Linked DNA regions of Oryctolagus cuniculus. The protein of the gene in region 1 interacts with the protein of each later gene in a pairwise test. Links are inferred from orthologs where the notes say so. Each region holds a gene or a part of one and is shown on either strand. Other genes may lie near its edges.

What was found.
Region 2: the proteins of PCBD1 (region 1) and TFF3 interact in binary tests that used the Homo sapiens proteins (3 or more experiments, as listed by UniProt). The two-hybrid records come from large-scale screens. The link is inferred for Oryctolagus cuniculus from reciprocal best matches to the Homo sapiens genes PCBD1 and TFF3.

The regions. Positions count from the first base shown.
Region 1 is NC_091446.1:62,317,328-62,321,073, reverse strand, and holds the start of PCBD1 (pterin-4-alpha-carbinolamine dehydratase), read left to right. Parts: upstream 1-971; 5' UTR 972-1,103; coding exon 1,104-1,106; intron 1,107-3,746. UniProt on the Homo sapiens protein: Involved in tetrahydrobiopterin biosynthesis. Seems to both prevent the formation of 7-pterins and accelerate the formation of quinonoid-BH2. Coactivator for HNF1A-dependent transcription.
Region 2 is NC_091435.1:3,229,033-3,232,778, forward strand, and holds TFF3 (trefoil factor 3), read left to right. Parts: upstream 1-1,152; 5' UTR 1,153-1,183; coding exon 1,184-1,265; intron 1,266-2,306; coding exon 2,307-2,453; intron 2,454-3,378; coding exon 3,379-3,392; 3' UTR 3,393-3,555; downstream 3,556-3,746. UniProt on the Homo sapiens protein: Involved in the maintenance and repair of the intestinal mucosa. Promotes the mobility of epithelial cells in healing processes (motogen).

The sequences.
Region 1 (3,746 bases):
GTAAATGGATACAACCGCTTGGGAAAACAGTTTGGTGGCTTCCTAACAAGTTACACATCTCTCCTACAACCCAGACATTCCATCCCTAGGAATTCACCCTAGAAAACATGAAAGCACGTGTCTACACAAAGACTGCAGGAATGTTCACAGCAGCTTTGTCTGTAAGCCAAAACTACCCAAATGTCCGTCAACAGTGAATTGACAAATTGGAGTTCTGCAATATTAACAAGGGCAGACTTCATAAAGTTCATGGAAAGTGGAATTAAAACAAGTTTATTGGGGCCGGTGCTGTGGTGTAGCAGGTTGAGTCGCCACCTGTGACAGGAGCATTCCATGTGGGCGCTGGTTTGAGCCCCGCTCCAGCTCCTGCTAACACGCCTGGGAAAGCCGCAGAGATGGCCAAAGTGCCTGGTCCCCTGCCACCCATGTGGGAGACCTGGATGGAGCTCCAGGTTCCTGGCTTTGACCTGGCAGCTGTTGGAGCCATCTGGGTTGTGAACCAGTGGATCCAAGATCAATCGCTGTCTCTGCCTCTCAGTCTCTGTTACTCTGCCTTTCAAATAAAGATATAAATCTTTTTAAAAATTAAGTTTATTTTGGTGCAAAAGAATACTAACTGCATAACAGTTTCTTATAACGTGCATTTTCCATGAACTTTATGAAGCTCCCTCTAGTGGATGTGTATGGTCTATTCACATGAAAGAAACGCAGGTGTGGGGCCTCGGACAGTCGGGCAGAAGGGAACTGGAGGGCGGGGTGTCCCAGGGCAGCCCTGTGTCAACACTTAGCAAACTGTGTATTTAAAACCTGTGCAGTTTATTGTCTGTCAATCACATCTGACTACAGAGGTTTGTTTTTTCAAGTTGGATGATGCGCGCCCGGGGTCTTAGCATCACCCCAAACCTTGTCACTTGCATGCGGAGTGTCTCTGTGGGCGAGGAAAGTGCTGGAAGGGAGCCCAGCGGAGCCCAGCCCGCTGTTAATCATTACCAGGGGGCGGCCCGAGCGCGGCCCCGCCCCAGGGCGGCCACAGAGCGCCCGACCGCTCGCTAGCTCGCTAGCTGGGCCGCCACCTGCTGCTGCCCGCCCGCCTGCGCCGCGACATGGTGAGCGGAGGGACCGCCGCGACCGCGCGCGGGGACGCGGTGCGGGTAGGGGAGGGTCCCCCAAGCCCCTGGCAGGGCCACAACGGCCGGGCTCGGAAAACTGGGGTCTCCGCCCTAGTCCCGAATGCAGGCGGTGCCCAGGGAGAAGCTGAGGCCAGCAGAGGGGCGGCGACCCGGGCCTACCGCCCATTCCCAGGCCCTGCTCGTCCGCCGGCGACGCGCGCGCGCTGCAGTGGCGCCTGCGCTTTCCACGGGCACAGGCGGCGGCGGAGGCGGGGAGGCTGAATGGGTGAATGGTCTGGCCGCTGTCCCTTCTCGCTCGCCTGCTGTGCGCCTGGCCTGAGGCCTGTGCCCAGCGGCAGGGGGGCGGCGGCGGGCTGGGGTGGAATGGGGTGGGGAACCCGAGGCCGAGCTGTGCGGCGGGGCCGGGGGTGTCTCCCTCCACCCTACGCAGTTTCTCCACAGCTAGACCTGGAAGCTGCACCAAGCAGTGCATTCCTGGCCCAGAGGGCTCGGGGAGGGAACGTGAGTCCCCAGAGATGCAGACCTGGGTGATCAGTAACCCCTCCACACACTCCGCTAAGCCTGCCGGGTGATCGGCAAACAAGGCCGCTACCCGCAACTGCATCCCAGAGTCCCAGGTAGTACCACTTGGAGGGCTCTAGCAGGCTCTAAAGAGGAAGGGGGCTCATGGATGTCCACCCACCCCTTTCAGCACCAAGAAAACGTATCGATGCCTTGGCTGAAGGTTGATGCTGGAAACACGGACCTAGCTGCAGCCACTGGGAATGGGCAGCTGGACAGGAGGCTGCTCTCTGGGTGGGCGATGCAGGCGTGTGCAGCGTCTCTGCTGCCACCTGGAGCCCACGGGAGAGGGACCAAGCCCCACAGGTCTAGAGAGCACAGGTCTTCAGCATAAGAATCCTGCAGCCCTGTGACCACCCCAATGCTGCAAGCCCCCCAACACACACACACACACTGCTTACTTGCCCAAGGAAATATTTTTTAAAGATTTATTACTTGAAAGTCAGAGTTACAGAGACAGAGGAGAGACAGAGGTCTTCCATCTGGTGTTTCACTCCCCATGCAGCAGCAAGGGCCAGGACTGCGCCAGGCAAAAGTTAGGAGCTTCATCTGAGGTCTCCCACGTGGGTGCAGGGGCCCAAGAACCTGGGCCATCTTCCACTGCTTTCCCAGGTACATTAGAAAGGAGCTGGATCAGAAGTGGAGCAGCTGGGACTCATACCAGCATCTATAAGGGACGCCAACATTGCAGGTGGCAGCTCTGCATACTACTCCACAATGCCGGCCTCAGAAAGTATTTTTTTCAAATGCGGGTGGCATTGCCTAACAACAGTGCAGTTTACTGAACTGTATCTCACACCTCTGGAGCCTCCTGTCCCTTTAGTCATGAAGCCAGAAGAGGTGACTGCCATATTGCCACATGGCTGGTAAATGGTGGAACCGGGGCTTGCACCTGCCCCACCCACTCAAGCCAGGTCATCCATTCTGTTGGCTGCCTTCCTTCCATCCACACCTAAGTGCTGGGCTCTCAGTCTAGCCCTCCATCCATTTCTGCCCCTGGCACGACTCTGGGCTCCCTTAAGCTCCCACACCCAGACCCTCCTAGGGCACAAACTGACCCCAAACTGACCCTTGCTCCCTTGTCTTCTCTGAGGTTCCACTCATGGCCTGAACAGTGCCAATGTGGGCCGCCTGGAGGGCACTTTGCACAATAGGTAAATAGGACGGGGCATTGGATTGGCCAGTTGTCCTTGGCCAGGTTACTTCTGCTCTGGGGACTGGGCCCGGGGAGCCGTGTCCCAAGCTTCAAGAGAAAGCACGTAGCAAATCTGAGACCTAGGCCTGGCAGCTTGGGCCCAGAGGCCACATGGTACCGTGGTGCAGTGTGGCTAAGTTCCTGGAAGTTGGGTCCAGCCTCGGACACTGGCACACAGACCACACTTTGACAAGGCTGCCTGTGCCATCACTGGGCTGGGGGTGACGGGAGCAGTGCCCAAGTGATCTCCCCTCTCTAGGCCCCGGTTTCCTCTTTAGCACACCTTAGGGTTCTGGGGAGGGCGTGGGCTACACAGGATGGTACTAGAGGGAGGCAGGCTGGATCGGGGGAGTACTTCCTTCCTGAGCGGTTGTGCTGGGATTCATTTGCATGGGACAGAATTTTGCTTTTCCTTTCTCATTAAAGTGATGACTCTGAGTTTGGGAGGTGGGGGTGGCTGGGATGCAAATTATACTTCCTTTGGGATTTTCTTTCTCTGAGTGTATTAGACCTGAGAACCTATCAGTGAACAAGCCTCACTCTGCCTCCTGGGCAGGTGCCACCTTGGAGACATCCCAGCCTGTGGCCTAGAGCCCAGCTGCCCTTGGGTCATGCACATCCAGGGCAGCCAGTGGAGGCAGGCTAAAGGCCCTCAGAGGGGGGCAGCATTGTGCAGCAGTAGGTTAAGCTGCTGCTTACATCCCATAGCTGAGTGCTGGTTCAAGTCCCTGCTGCTCAGCTTCTGATCCAAGTCCCTGCTAATGCGCCTGGGAAAGTAGCAGGTGATGGCCCAAGTGATGGCCTTGCCACCCACATGGGCGGCTCGGATGGAATTCCAGACTCCTGGCTCCGGCACGGCC
Region 2 (3,746 bases), on another chromosome or scaffold:
CATCCCATATGGGCGCCGGTTCAAGTCCCGACTGCTCCACTTCCGACCCAGCTCTCTGCTGGTGGCCTGGGAAAGCAGTGGAAGATGGCCAAGTGCTTGGGTCCCTGCACCCGCGTGGGAGACCCAGAAGAAGCTCCTGGCTCCTGGCTTTGGATCAGTGTAGCTCCAGCCGTTGTGGTCATTTGGGGAGTGAACCAGCTGATGGAAGACCTCTCTCTCTCTCTCTGCGTAACTCTGCCTTTCAAATACATAAATAAATCTTAAAAATAAAAGAAGAAGGAAAGAAAGCCAGACGAGAGAAAGGGCTTTGTGCCTTTGCAGAGTCCAGCTCTCGAGAGGCGGAGCAGGCTGGGTCTGGACGGTGGCCTGGGCCAGGGTCTCTGCTGTGCTCCCGGGGTGGGAGGGCTGAGCCCGGCCCACTGACGTCCCTGCGGGAGCCACAGCCCCACCCGAGCCCCCGGCCTTTCCTGCAGCCCCGCTGGGGCGGGCAACACAGCCCTGTGCAGACGCAGGGAACCCACGTGCTGCTGCTCCCGGGGCAGTGCGGGCTGGGACACACACACACACCACACACACACACACACATACACACCACACACACACCATGCACCACACACACCACACACACCACACACACCACACACACCACACACACACACACACACACACACACCATGCACCACACACACCACACACACCACACACACACACACACACACACACCACACACACACACACACACATACCACACACACCACACACACACACCGTGCACCACACATACCACACACACACACCACACACACACACACACACCACACACACACACCACACACACACACACACCACACACACACACCACACACACACCACACACACACACACACCACACACACACACCACACACACACACACACCACACACACACACCACATATACACACACACACCGTGCACCACACATACCACACACACACACCACACACACACACACACACCACACACACACACACCTCGCGGGCTTCTGGGGGCTTCCAGTGGCATGCGGGAGAGAAACAGGTGGGGCTGTGGTGGGGCTCCGCCCAGAGCAAACAGAGTCCCGGTGGCTGTGCAAACACAGGGGTACAAATGGGCCCGGCGGCGGGTGCTGGCACTCCTGCGTGCCCACAGCCGGAGCGGTTACCATGGGGATCCGAGCGCTCTGGCTGCTGCTGCTCATCCTGGCCTTGGGGTCCTCGGGCTCTGTCGGGGAGGACCTGGGCCTGTGTGAGTACTGGCTCCTGGGGAGGTGGGCCAGCACCGGGCAGGCGGGCGGGGTCCAGGCCGAGGGCGCCATCCTGGGCTCAGAGCAGCGCAGGCGGACACGCCGTCCTCTGTTTCGTCTGCGCCGCTGGGCACAGGCGGGCTTTCTCTTGCAAAAGCCCTGCCAGGAACCTGAGGCCCAGGGCAAGGCAGGGCTGAGCGCAGGCTGCGGGGCTCGCCCTGCCCCGCCCCTGCCCAGCGCCGTCCTACCAGGGGTTTCTGGATGAATTTTTGATCTGGCGCAATTGCAAACCAGGAAAGGCAGGAGAGAAACCAACCTCCCAGAACACTTTTACATTTTTTAAAGATTTATTTATTTATTTGAAAGAGTTGCACAGAGAGAGAGAGAGAGAGAGAGAGAGAGAGAGAGAGAGAATCTCAACCGCAACAGCCAGGGCTGGGTTAGGAGCTTCCTCCGGGTCTCGCAGGTGGGTGCAGAGGCCCGAGCGCTTGGGCCATCCTCCACTGCCCTCCCAGGCGCATTAGCGGGGAGCTGGGTCTGAAGTGGAGCAGCCGGGGTTCCAGCCGTACCCATGTGGGATGCCAGCGCTGCAGCTGACGGCTTAGCACACTGCAAACACCGTCCAGGAGGCCTCCTTTTAGGCGTTATGTGGGAAGCCCCTCTCGTGGGGACAGAGCCATCACCTGCAAAGTGGAGCAAGCAGAGGCTGGTGCTGTGGCCCAGCGGGTGAAGCTGCAGCTGTGGAGCCTGTTCCAGTCCCGGCTGCTCCACTCCTGCTCCAGCTCTCTGCTGTGGCCTGGGAAAGCCCCGGAGGATGGGCCAAGTGCTCGGCCCCTGCACCCACGTGAGAAACACAGAAGAAGCTCCTGGCTCCTGGCTTCAGATGGGTCCAGCCCCAGCTGTGGGGGCTGCTTAGGGAGTGAGCCAATGCATGGATACGCTCTCTCTGCCTCTTCTGTAACTCTGCCTTTCAAATAAAAAAAAATGAAGCAAGAACACGCCAGCAGGGGCTCTGGCAGCTAACTGGGCTTTGTCTGGGGCAGCGGCCAGCCAGTGCGTCATCCCGGCCCAAGAAAGGGTGGACTGCGGCTACCCCCAGGTCACCGAGGAGGAGTGCAAGAGCAGGGGCTGCTGCTTTGACTCCAGCATCTTCGGGGTGCCCTGGTGCTTCAAGCCCCTGCAGGACACAGGTGAGCCCCAGCGCGGCCCCGCGTGCAGACCCAGGTCCCCAGACAGCTGCCCACGGGCCTGGGTCCTCAGCGCCGTCCACTGGAGGAGGCCTCCCAGTGCCGTCCACGCCCAGGGAAGCCGCGGCTGGTGGCTGTCCCCTTTCTGATTCATGTCGAAGCCATAGCTTCACAGACGTGCTCTGAGCGAAGGCTTCAGGTGGAGGGGCCCGGGGTAACAGGTGTCCCAGGACGGGGTGGGGGGCACGGAAGCCTGGCTGCTGGGAGACGGCAGCAGTGGCTGAGCCGGGCAGCAGCCCTGGAGCTGCCCCACCGTGATGGTGTGGCTCTCCCCTCCCGCGGTGCTGCAGGCCGAGCAGGGCAGCGCCCCTGGGGACCCCTCCTGGGAGGGGTAGTGGGCCCCGGCCCCTCCCACCCACTCTGGGCGTGGCTGACGGCCCTCAGCCAGGTGCCATGCCCACGGAGGACGTTCCCAGGGGGACAACTCTGGCCGTCAGCACCGCGAGGGGCCACTCTTGGCCTTTGTGCCGGGATAACAGTGAGAGGCCGAGTCCCAGGTCACCCCGATCCCAGGCACTGAGGGTGGCCCCAGCCCCTGCGCCCTGCCAACAACTCCGGGGAGAAGGCAAGAGACGAGGTTGCCTCTTCCCCGGCTGTCCCCTGCCTCCTGCCGTCCCTGCTGGGACCCCCTTCTCCCCTGAGCACTGGCTGGTGGCCCCGCCCTCTGTCACCTGCACTGACCACCTGCGTCCAGGGACCTCAGTAGCCCCTGAGGTGGGTTGCGAGGCCACCCGCTAGGAGCTCACCACTTCCCCGGGGACCTGGGGGCGCGCGCCCCAGCTCTAGGCATGGTCTGGGCGCCTGCGCTGCTGGAGGAGCTGTGCACGGAGCCGAGCCGCTCACCACACTGTCTCCGTGCTCCTTCCAGAATGCACGTTTTGAAGCGCAGCTGCGGCCTGCCGGGTCCCCGGGTGTGAGGCCCCTCCCGCCCTGCTCACCCCGCTTCTCTCTCCCCGCCTCCTGCCTGCTGCGATCGCCAAACCTAATGCCTGGAGCCTGATGTCTAGAGAATAAAGAACCCGTGCCCGGCACGGACCCTTCATCACCCCGCCAGTTCCCTTTCTTCCTCGGCACTCGGGGGCAAGGAGGGGGAGGGGCTTCCGCTGCCCGGGGGAGGGGCAAGGAGGGCGGGAGGGGCTTCCGCTGCGCGGGGGAGGGGCAAGGAGGGCGGGAGGGGCTTCCGCTGCCCGGGGGAGGGGCTTCCACTGCCCGGGGGAGGGGCAAGGAGGGCGGGAG